Linked DNA regions of Bombyx mori. The protein of the gene in region 1 purifies or fractionates together with the protein of each later gene. This does not show direct contact. Links are inferred from orthologs where the notes say so. Each region holds a gene or a part of one and is shown on either strand. Other genes may lie near its edges. The genes, in order: zinc finger protein 830, peptidyl-prolyl cis-trans isomerase and RING-type E3 ubiquitin-protein ligase PPIL2.

What was found.
Region 2: the proteins of zinc finger protein 830 (region 1) and peptidyl-prolyl cis-trans isomerase purify together in Homo sapiens (affinity purification with mass spectrometry; 3 studies listed by BioGRID and IntAct, counting the BioPlex papers as one, with this or other methods). This does not show direct contact. The link is inferred for Bombyx mori from reciprocal best matches to the Homo sapiens genes ZNF830 and PPIE.
Region 3: the proteins of zinc finger protein 830 (region 1) and RING-type E3 ubiquitin-protein ligase PPIL2 purify together in Homo sapiens (co-immunoprecipitation; 4 studies listed by BioGRID and IntAct, counting the BioPlex papers as one, with this or other methods). This does not show direct contact. The link is inferred for Bombyx mori from reciprocal best matches to the Homo sapiens genes ZNF830 and PPIL2.

The regions. Positions count from the first base shown.
Region 1 is NC_085115.1:6,224,507-6,228,742, forward strand, and holds the end of zinc finger protein 830, read left to right. Parts: exon of another isoform or gene 1-413; coding exon 414-517; exon of another isoform or gene 518-708; coding exon of another isoform or gene 709-1,440; intron 1,441-1,652; coding exon of another isoform or gene 1,653-1,862; exon of another isoform or gene 1,863-2,085; intron 2,086-3,094; coding exon 3,095-3,264; intron 3,265-3,376; coding exon 3,377-3,524; 3' UTR 3,525-3,586; downstream 3,587-4,236. Other genes in the region: ATP-dependent (S)-NAD(P)H-hydrate dehydratase, read right to left, coding at 709-1,440, 1,653-1,862.
Region 2 is NC_085121.1:14,019,375-14,023,755, forward strand, and holds the start of peptidyl-prolyl cis-trans isomerase, read left to right. Parts: upstream 1-1,523; 5' UTR 1,524-1,678; coding exon 1,679-1,888; intron 1,889-3,343; coding exon 3,344-3,529; intron 3,530-4,381. UniProt on the Homo sapiens protein: Involved in pre-mRNA splicing as component of the spliceosome. Combines RNA-binding and PPIase activities.
Region 3 is NC_085116.1:14,595,362-14,598,121, reverse strand, and holds part of RING-type E3 ubiquitin-protein ligase PPIL2, read right to left. Parts: intron 2,666-2,760; coding exon 2,517-2,665; intron 893-2,516; coding exon 741-892; intron 1-740. UniProt on the Homo sapiens protein: Has a ubiquitin-protein ligase activity acting as an E3 ubiquitin protein ligase or as an ubiquitin-ubiquitin ligase promoting elongation of ubiquitin chains on substrates.

The DNA.
Region 1 (4,236 bases):
ATGCGAGGGTTCTCGTGTCGTGCCGCTTTGGCGAAGTGGCACATTGACGCCGACTGTAGATACTTACTGATGGACTCTAAAGTCCAGGTCGTTATGGAATTCAACGTTCCTGACGAACCACAGAGCTTCAACCGCTATCCTGCAAAAACGGGATTGAATGATTTGGAATGATTTTAAGTTAGTGCGGGCCGCGTGAGCGAACACTACACTTGCATAGGTAGTGACGGGGCGTATGCAAGTTTTGTAGAGTGTCACCTTATTTCTAAGGGACATTTTACTTCGCCTGCATATCATTGGGTACTTCTCTGTAGTGCAAACCACAGACATAAGTCTTCTCTTTAGAAATATAATTTCTAAAAATGATTCTCAGAGTGAGATGATAGCCAACAGTATATCATAGTATTATGTTTCAGTTAATGAACCTGTACAGACTACAGATCAAAAAGAAAAAGAGGAACCTGCAAGTGATGTACCAATACCAGAAGGTTTTTTTGATGACCCAGTTTTAGATGCAAAGGTAACAGATATTAGATGTTATAAAATATCAACTAACATATTACTTCATAACTCTTCTGCTTTTTAAACACAGCACATAATTTAGTTAATTTGAGTAAAAAACATTACATATTATACATTATTAATATATACATACATGATAATTTCATTAAACCATTATTTCACAATCACTATCCTTATAGAAACTAAACATTACTGGTCATATAATTCTTCAAAAGCATCATGTATAAATTCTATCATATCAGTAGCTAACATACTTCGACCTTTTAATTTAAAAGCCTTTTCATTGCACTTTCTTACTAAAATACATGCAGCATAACAAGACAAAGAAGCTGCTAACATTTTATTATTAGATATATCTGGTATTTTAATTTTATCAATATTAGCGAGAGTCCAATGCATGAATGTAGCTATAGTTCCAGATAATAAATCACCCTGTCCTCCACACCTCCGTCCAGATCCCCCAGTCTCCAATGACCAAGTGAACTCAGGAAATGGACTTATTAATTCATCATTGGGCCCTTTTTTTAATATAGTAACATTTTTCCCCATTGTCTGTACATCTATTTTATTACTTAGTCGTTCAAATTCTATTTTGTTAGGGGTTAATATTACTGGTGAATCAAAATCTTTAATTAAGTTTGGTTTTTCTGTTATTAAAAACAAACCATCAGCATCAATGATAATGGGTATTTTCTTTTGCTTGATGACTTCTATTAATTTTGCTATTATATCAAATGTTTGCCAATCTCTTCCTAATCCAGGGCCAATAACTATAGAATGGAGTCTGTCAAACCATGGTAATATTTCCTCAACAGCATCTTGCTTATCTAGTAGTGGATGCACTATTAATTCTGGGCTATATGATTTAATTACTGCAGAAGCAACTGAAGAACAAAATATATGTGCCAAGTCTGCACCTACCTGCAATTTTAACAAATATGTTCTTTATTATCAATATTCGTTTTAAATTACACTGGATGTTTTCATATTCAGAGTAACACATAACTTTTGGTTGAGTATCATGATTAATGAATAATTTCTTTTCCTAGAATGTGGATGTATTTATGTTTATGAAATTTTGTTTATTGTATGAGTCTTACCTAACAAAAACGGAATACTGAATAATTACTAACTTTGAGTGAGCTAATCCCCGCAAAATAAGGTGCACCAGTATATTCTAAAGAACCACCAATTACCCCTATTCTTCCGGCTTGCCCTTTATGACTACTTTTATCCAGAGGTGGTATGCATATTTTAATAAGGTTTTTCATACTTGTAGGATCCATGTTGTATCTATGTCTAATAAGAGAAAAACTTTTCAACAAAATTAAATTTGTTTTCATTGAAAGACCTTAAAATCTTACGCTTCGAACGATACTGCTTTATTTTTAAACTTGTGAAAGAATCATATGAAACGTATGCCACTTTCGTCAAAGTTAACAAACTATCATTTTATTAAGTTAAACCTCGTAAAATACTGTAGTATAGTACATAGAAATCGCAAAAAATACCGTAATAACATTATCAAATTACCATGACACACTGAGAATGTTTTTTTAAGGGATTTTATGACCTGGTAACTAAGACCTTTAGGTCAAGTCTTATTTTAATTTTAATGAAAACTTTTTTTATATGAAAAATAATATATGGGATGAAATATAATCTCAGTAAAATGGTGGTCATTTACTGAGAATTTTTCAGTGGACTTTATGGAAGATCGTCGTGGCCTAAAGGATAAGACGTCCGGTGCATTCGTGTTGAGCGATGCACCGGTGTTCGAATATCAGGTCAGTACCAATTTTTCTAATGAAATACGTACTCAACAAATGTTCACGATTTACTTCTACGGTGAAGGAACAACATAGTGTAATAAAAATCAAACCCGCAAAATTATAATTTGCGTAATTACTAGTGGTAGGGCGAGTCCGCACTGGTAGGTACCACCACCCTGTCTATTTCTGCCGTGAAGCAGTAATGCGTTTCGGTTTGAAGGGTGGGGCAGCCGTTGTAACTATACTGAGACCTTAGAACTTATATCTCAAGGTGGGTGGCGGATTTACGTTGCAGGTGTCTATGGGCTCCAGTAACCACTAAACACCAGGTGGGCTGTGAGCTCGTGCACCCATACAAGCGATAAAAAAAGATCATACCGATACAAATTTCATTGCTTTCACGCTACGTTACGATGATGACCGGCACCGACATAATTGTATATGGGAACAGTTTATTGATCCATATGGGTTGCAAATACTTGCAGTACTAAACTGAATTGATTTTGTTTGTATTTTAATGAGAAAAAATATTTATTCACTAAATGTAATCATCTAAGTCACACTCGGTAATAAGCCAGGTAGGTCCCACTTATTTCTGCGGTGTATCGGTTATGCGCTCCAGTTCGAACGATTTTTCAATGAAATTGAGATTTCTACATCATATCTTAATGTGGATGACGACATACACGTTGTGATATCTATGCTAAACTCCAACACAAAGTGTGATGTTCGCTGCTTGTTCGCTCGTCTACGTAAGAGAAAATTCGTTATGCTTATTTTGAAAATTGTTTATTTTATTTTAGGTTCGTAAGATTGAATATAAAGATCCAATTGAAGAGGAATGGGAAAAATTCAGAAAAGAAATAAAAGAAGAAACTAGTGCATCAGCTGAAATTATAGCAGGTGAACAAGAAGAAGCCACTGCAGAGCGACAAATAGAAGAAATCGACGAACAAATTAGAAAATGGTCCCGGTACGATAAAAACAACTCTGAAATTTTACTTTTAAATACCTAAAATTTTATTAAATTAAATAATTTTAAATTATTCAACATAGTAATGAACTTAATTTCCTTTTTTTTACAGAGTCCTGGATTTGGAATTACAAAAAGAAGAGACGAAAAAGAAAATACACGAAATGGACCAAATGAGCTTAGACGAAAATTGTGAATCAGAAAACGAAGATGATATAGACGAATTTTTAGATTGGAGGTCTAAAAAATCGTTTACGTAACAAAAAGTTTTTTCTGTTGATATGTGTTATTAAAATACTTTACTATAATGAGCTACATAAAAGTTCTTTTATTACGATTTACCCTAATCTTTATCTAAATTATTTTATATTTTGATATTTTTTTATTTTTATTGCTTAGATGGGTGGATGAGCTCACAGCCCACCTGGTGTTAAGTGGTTACTGGAGCCCATAGATATCTATAACCTAAATGCGCCACCCACCTTGAGATATTAGTTCTAAGATCTCAGTATAGTTAGTGTTAGTTTCAGAAAGTGAGATCACCCAAAACCAGTTCGGGTTCATACCTGGTCGCGGGACAACGGACGCCATATTTGTACTTCGCCAAGTGTGCGAAAAATACCATGACGTGCACAGGAATCTGCCTAGGGTGTTCGTTGATCTGGAAAAAGCGTACGGCCTTTTTTTCCTAGTAGGTGAGCTCACGGGGCTCAAACCTGACGACGTTCCTAAAACGAACCCTAGCAAGAGCCGTGCTTCGTAGAATCTACCACCGGATCGGAAACGCGACCCACTGCGAAGATCCGGCGAGAAACCCAGTGGGCTGTGTCTGAGGGTTAATTTACTCGTCAAGCCCTTCGTCGAAAGCGACGGGTTCGACGAGAACGGTGACCTGTGCTTGAAGTACCTAAAATCACCGTTAGTGGATCGGGAGGATCCGAAATGACGTGTTTTGGGCGATGTCGACTGCTT
Region 2 (4,381 bases), on another chromosome or scaffold:
AAACTGAACTGATTTGAACTTCAGGCAGCCTGAAGATGGACGGACGAGCTCACGGCCCAATTGTCGTTATGTGCTACCGGAGCCCATAGACAACAACAACGTAAAAGCCGCCATCCACTTTGAGACATAAGTTCTAGGTCTAAATTTTTACAGTACAACGGCTGTTCCTTAAAACCAACACATTACTGCTTCACGGCAGTAAAAATCAGAGTGTTGCTACCTACTCTTGTGGGCGTATAAGTCACCCTACCATTAGTAATTACGCATTATATAATTTTCGCAGGTTTGATTTTTATTATAGGCTCTTACAGTTTTACTGGCTTGGACGCAGCGCTCGATCCGAATGCACCGGGCGTCATAATCCGCAGGCCACCACCCCTTCAATAGCTGGTCGTTCTTGATGGACATTCTGGATTATTATTAGTCTGGACTGGATGCGATAGGCAAGAGACCTAGAATAATGGAGTGTATTTGAAGAGACCTATACTCAGCATTAGGTGGATAAGGTTTGAAGAAGAGATGAAAATTCTAGAGGCATTTAAGAATTCGTCCATTACCTTCGTAGATTGTTTTCATAAGAAGTGTAATACTTATTAACTGTAGATTATTTTGAGTACCTTAAAGGACTAGACTATATCTGTCAAAACCGTCAGATTTGACAGTTTTTTGAAAAACTTTGCGGTCCATCTTATCGTTTCATTACATATATTTCGTTCAATTTCATTCACATGTATTACTAATACAAAATACATTTTTTTCATTACACTCCGGTGTTTGGTTCCTTTGTTATCCAACACAGTATTTAAAAAAGAAACGAGCTGCCGAAGAGATATTTAATTTTGAGTTTGAGTAGGTCAGAATCGCATAGTATAACTCTTTCCTAATGATAACCTTAACGGTTTCCACTGCTTTTCCTTTTGCTATAAAATATTACAGGGCTTTTGGTAAGGTAATGTAATGATTATTTAGTTGTAATTATACTGTATACCTAGTTGAAATTATATTAACCAGTAAGTATACCAGCCCCCTTCAGCTCCCTTCCATTTTACTTTTTTATTATTCATCCGTCTTTAAGAACGGATTTCGTTTCTACCTCACGTTTAATTTCTTATCTGCTTTTGTTTGGTATATACTGGTGGCAGATACAAAGATTGCAAGACGGCGCCAATGGCGAACTCTTCTATCTATTTTTGCTATAGAGCAATCTTAAATTCCTGTTTAAAAAGGAGAAATGCCGATATTCCCAATAAATTAATTCGTGACTAGTTAGATTAAATCAAAAAACAACTAGAAAACTATTTTGTTACATATCTCACTATCGAATAGGAAAATATTTTATCATACTTGAAACTGAGAATGAGATATTTATCGTTTGTGTAATTTGCTACTCTGAGCTTACCTTAAATTACGTAAAAATCAACTGTTTATTTGAAAATCATTGAATCCAAAGATATTAAGTGATTACTTATGTTGTTTATTTTAATTCCTTCAATGAAGTAGGAAACCTATAGGTCTATGAATTCCTTTGACAAAATGACATTTGACTTTTTGAATTGTCATTCTCTTTGAGGTTATGTTTGATATAAACAAACCGCTATCGGCGCTATCACACAAATAGTTAGCTATGTACCTAAATTTCATTTAAATTTCGAATAATTTAATATAAACACACGTGAAAATGTCGAGTAAGCCTAATTCTAAGCGGACAATATACGTTGGAGGGCTAGCTGAGGAGGTCGACGAGAAAGTTTTAAACGCTGCTTTCATCCCTTTCGGGGATTTGGTTGATGTTCAAATACCTTTGGATTATGAGACTGAGAAGCATCGGGGCTTCGCTTTCATAGAGTTCGAAAACGCTGAGGATGCTGCCGCAGCGATTGATAACATGGTCAGTACTTTTACAGTGAAATACATGGCAGATGCTGGACATGGATTCTTTCAGTTCTAGTCCATAGGTATGATACAAAATACTCATTTTGGTACAAACGAAGGGTACACATCTTTGTTTATCGTTAAAGAATGTGAAATTACATTCAGGAATTATTTTTGGACAAATAAGATATATAAGTCTATATTTATTACTTATACAATAATATCTGACATTTTAAATTCTTACATTTTTTCGGTCTTAAATGTCCATTGTGAATATAGTAAGAGGTGAAGAAGTGTTATTATTGTTGTTATAACTCGGAAGTCCCCGAGTTTTTATTACAGATGGTAGGGTATATTGTAAGCCCAAGGGGTAGGTGCCACCAACATGTTTATTTATGATTTCTGATTGGCACAGTAGCCATCACCAGTGGAATAACCACAATTGAAACTACAACCTTATGTCTCAAGGTGGGTGGCAGCATTCACATTCTGATGGCTGTTGTCTTGTAATTACATAAACCTGGTGACATGAGTTTGTACATACTTATCACAAGCAAAACCTACCATAGCTAAAGGAATCTATATTGAAGAGTGAAATGCTATTTGGTATAAGCAACATTTTCCTTAATACACAACTTCATCTTCATAATTAAAGGTGTGTTTTATTTGGTATTAGCAAGAACAGTTTGATGGTTTTAATTGCTCTTTAATTGAGTTTATTCCATTAAAAAAGCTAAAGAAGTTTATTTGTTATGGTATTTTTTCCAAATTTTAAACTTTAAATGGCCTTTAAGTTCCAAAAATGTCAATATGTCCGAATGTTTGTAGGCAGCGGCTTGGCTCTTCCCCTGGCATTGCTGACGTCCATGAGCGACGGTAACCACTCACCATCAAGTGGGCTGTATGCTTGTCTGCCTATACGGCAATAAAAAAATATGTCACTTAAAACAAATAGCCTTTCACCCCTCAATATAAGGTATTGAAGGGAGAATTAAAATTATTTGTGTGTAATTTAAACCTCATCATTGGAAAATACTTTTTACTGATATTATAATTATATTTGTAATACATATTATTACAGTAAATAAAATATTGTTTCACATATATTTATACACGTCATGTTTCAAAGGTTTTTTTTTTTAAATTCCGGATTAAAGGAGATTTTGATTATTTTAATAATTTATTTAATTGACTAACACTAAAATGTTTAATATAATATTAGCTTAATACATTATCAAACTGCCATTCATAACTAAAGTGTAGGATATTGTAATAGAAAAAAGTTATATACACAGTAAATAAGCTTTTATAAAATAGGTTTGAAATTATTAATCTACTAGAAAATGACATCCATAGAGACATAGATGACCCTAGAAATATAGACATATTGTGGAATGCATAATTAAAAAAATTTAAACATGCTTAGTAATATTTTCTCATTTTAACTTGTAATCTAACTATTTATTTCTAGAATGATTCAGAACTATTTGGTAGAACAATACGAGTGAACATAGCAGCTCCGCAACGCATTAAAGAAGGCTCCACACGACCTGTCTGGTCGGATGACTCATGGCTGCAGAAACATGCTGGGGAAACTCTTCAACTGAACAAAGATGGTGAAGAAACTGAAACGAAAGACAAAACCGAAACTACTAGTGTAAGTAATCTAAAGTACATCAAATTAAGAAATAAGATGGTTATGATTCGGACATAACATGTGAAAGGATAATAAATATTATCCAAAACATTGATAAAGATGATTGATTTTAAGGATGCATAATATAAGGACTAAAGCGTTTAAAGTAAATGTATAAAGACTCTGGGTAAGGGGTTTGATAACTTTGTCACTAGCATTAGTCATATTCTTGAGATAACATAAACTCTGTCAAACGTTTGGCTTGTAATTTGGTATTATGTCAGTTACAGAGCGAATGCTACCTTCAGACGTTAATTACAAGTCTGAATTTTATTTAAATATCGACTTTTCTAACTTCACCTCAAAGGAAGTGAAATTATGATGGTAATTTTTTGTTCTATGATACTCTCCATGTCTTCGTATTGTGTCCAGTTTTCCAGTCAAGAGTTTATTGAGTTAGCACATACATTAAATTGTTTTCAAGTGATGTTATGAATATACTAAAACAAAGTGTGTAAATTTACATTGAAATTCTTCTCTTCTTCATCTTTTTCTCCACCTTATCCCACTACACACTTTACCCAGGTGGGCTTGAGCTCGTCCACATATCTAAGAAATAAAAAAAAAACTAGGTGGGGTCGGCACAGCTAATTTTTCTCTTCCATTCTCTTCTATTAGCCATCATCTCAACACTCACTCGTCTCTCTCATATCATATCGTCGTTCACACATTCCAACCATGTCTTCTTCGGTCGACCTCTTCCTCCTCTACCTTTTTCATACTATTTCCATAGATCTCCTAGTCACATGCCTCAATTCTCTACGCATCACATGTCCATACCGCGCTAATCGTCCGCTTGTTTCAAACTTCCTC
Region 3 (2,760 bases), on another chromosome or scaffold:
AAACATCGGCACAAGTGTATCAAGATACCATTCTTGAGAAGGTAGTGAAGGCCCTTAACAACACCATGTTCAATAATTAAGAATGGTCCTTCCAGCAAGACTTGGTGCCAGGTCATAAAGCTTGGTCTACGCAGTCTTGGTTGGAAACGAACGTTTCGGACTCGAACTTGACAGCTGAAGACTGGCCGTCGTCTAGTCCCTATCTTAATCTGCTGGATTATAATTTATGGTCAGTTTTAGAGAGTACGGCTTGCTCTAAACGCCATGATAATTTGGAGTCCCTAAAACAATCCGTACGATTGACAGTGAAAAATTTTCCCATGGAAAGAGTGTGTGCTTCTATTGATAACTGGCCTCAACGTTCAAAGGACTGTATTGCAGCCAATGGAGACCACTTCGAATAATCTTTTAATACTTTAAATTGTTTTATATTTATGTTTTAAACTAACACACTGTAAAAGTAATAAACGTTTTTGCAATAGATTTTTTTTTTCCCTTTGTCTCAGTATTTATGGCAAGACTAGGTAAACTCACAGTCTTGAGTAGAACCAAAGCACTGGTCTTCTTCACGTTCTTGTATTTATTTAATTTTCAAATAGTGAAGTTTTGAGAATAGTAATTTTATTTATTGTTTTAGAAAATTCATACAACACGAAACTACAATTTCAAAAAAGCAACTCTGTCCCAGTCCTAAAAGCTTCAGTTCATTTATAGTTATTAAAAATACATCTAGTACTTACAATTGTGATCCGTTAGTATTGGTTCCCGAGTTAGCCATAGACAAGACTCCTCGTCCGGTGTGGTGCAAGTTTGGCTTAATTTCATCATCAAAAGGTTTCTTCCAAATGGATTCGCCTCCCAACCCTGTGCCCGTTGGATCTCCTCCTTGAATCTATATATATAAAAATGAATTGCTGGTCGTTAGTCTCGCTAAAACTCGAGAACAGCTGGACCGATTTGGCTAATTTTGGTCTTGAATTGAATGAAGGTTTAAAAGGTAGATAAATATGAAAATGCTCGGAATTAAATAAAAATAACAATTTTGTTTTCCCTTTGAGTTTATTTTTTACAAAAGTTTAGGTTTTTTGTTTATCGAGGCACTAAGAAGTCGGCCGCGTCAGCTAGTTTAATAAAAAAATCATATATTTTAAACAGGTAAGTTGTCTAATCGCCAGACGAACTTCACGGTCCATCTGGTAATAGACAGTTATAGACAGTCTAAAACTAAACGCCTCTGGCATGATTGCTTTGTGTTAAAAATAGACAGAAAAGTGAGACCATAGGTCATAGGTTCTGTATCCTCTTATCACCTGTTTATCCCAAAAACCATATTGCAGATATAGTAAGTAGTTCTGAGCTTACAATAGAATTACTCTAGACACACATCTGTCTCTAATTCAATTTGTTTGTTCATTGATAGTTTTCATTAAAATAATAAAGCTAGCTGTCCCAGACCAACTTTTTTTTCAAAATGAAGGATTACTGGTGGCCTTTCCATTGTCACCAGGACAGGTGGGCGAGCAAAGGCTCAGTCAGGAGGCCATATCGAGAGGTGTAAGGCTATTTGGTTTAAGCGATATTTCGCTTTATACGCAATGCAATAATAATGTTGTATCTATTATAAAAGCGTTGCAGAGATAACACAAAGGCAGTCAGTAATCGCATCTACTCGAAGCGAAACAGCGAACGGATCACCTGAAGCGAAGCGGAAGAAGTGAATTAAGAACTTTAATGTTGTGGTTTTTTTTTTGCTTGGATTGGTGGACGAGCTCACAGCCCACCCGTTGTTAAGTGGTTATATGCGTTAATACAGTTTTAAATTGTACTTCGGTAGAATTTTTAGTTATCCCGAATCCCAACGCGTAAAAATATTTTGTCCCAATTATAAACTTTAAACGGTCCTCCTGTAATGTAGCAAAAATGTCGCTTAAGCCCTTCGATCAACAATTGTACTATTGTTGATCGAAGCTTAAGCCAAATGGCCTTTCACCCCTCGATACGTAGTTTAATTAATCAAGATGTCAGACACTTTTTTTAGGACCTCTTGAGTCCACGTGGGAGACCACCACCCTGCCTATTTCTGCCGTGAAGCAGTTATGCGTTTCGGTTTGAAGGGTGGGGCAGCTGTTTTAACTATGTGGGCCTGCGGAAGAATTTCGATTCCCGCGGCCCCGCGTGCACGTGTGGTGAGGCACCAGGGTGGTTTTAGCCGGTAGGAGTCCAGCACGCCCCTCCGCCTTTCACCAGGCGGAGGCAATCCATGAGGATTTCTCCCCGAAAAAAAAAAGCTGTTGTTACTATACTTGAGACCTTAAACTTATATCTCAAGGTGGGTGGCGCATTTACGTTGTAGATGTCTATGGGCTCCAGTAACCACTTAGCACCAGGTGGGCTGTGAGCTCGTCCACCCATCTAAGCAATAAAAAAAGTTGAAGTTCTGCAAAGCAGAACTACCAGTCTTTTTACACTAGTCGTGGTATAAAACTCAACGCCACTTAATATTTTCATCAACTCACCATAAAATTCCTGATAGACCTGTGGAACTTTGTTCCGTTGTAGTATCCATTTTTACAATGTGTCATGAAGTTGTGACAAGTTTTGGGCGTTACGTCGCAGTACAATTCAAAGTTCAGATGTCCTACATTTGTTACCAGTCTTACATAACCTGAAACAAACATTGTCTGGTCTTAACAATCTTGCCCTTACATTACTCTTCATGAATTAAAGAGTGATGGATGGTGTTTTGAAGCCCAAATCTAT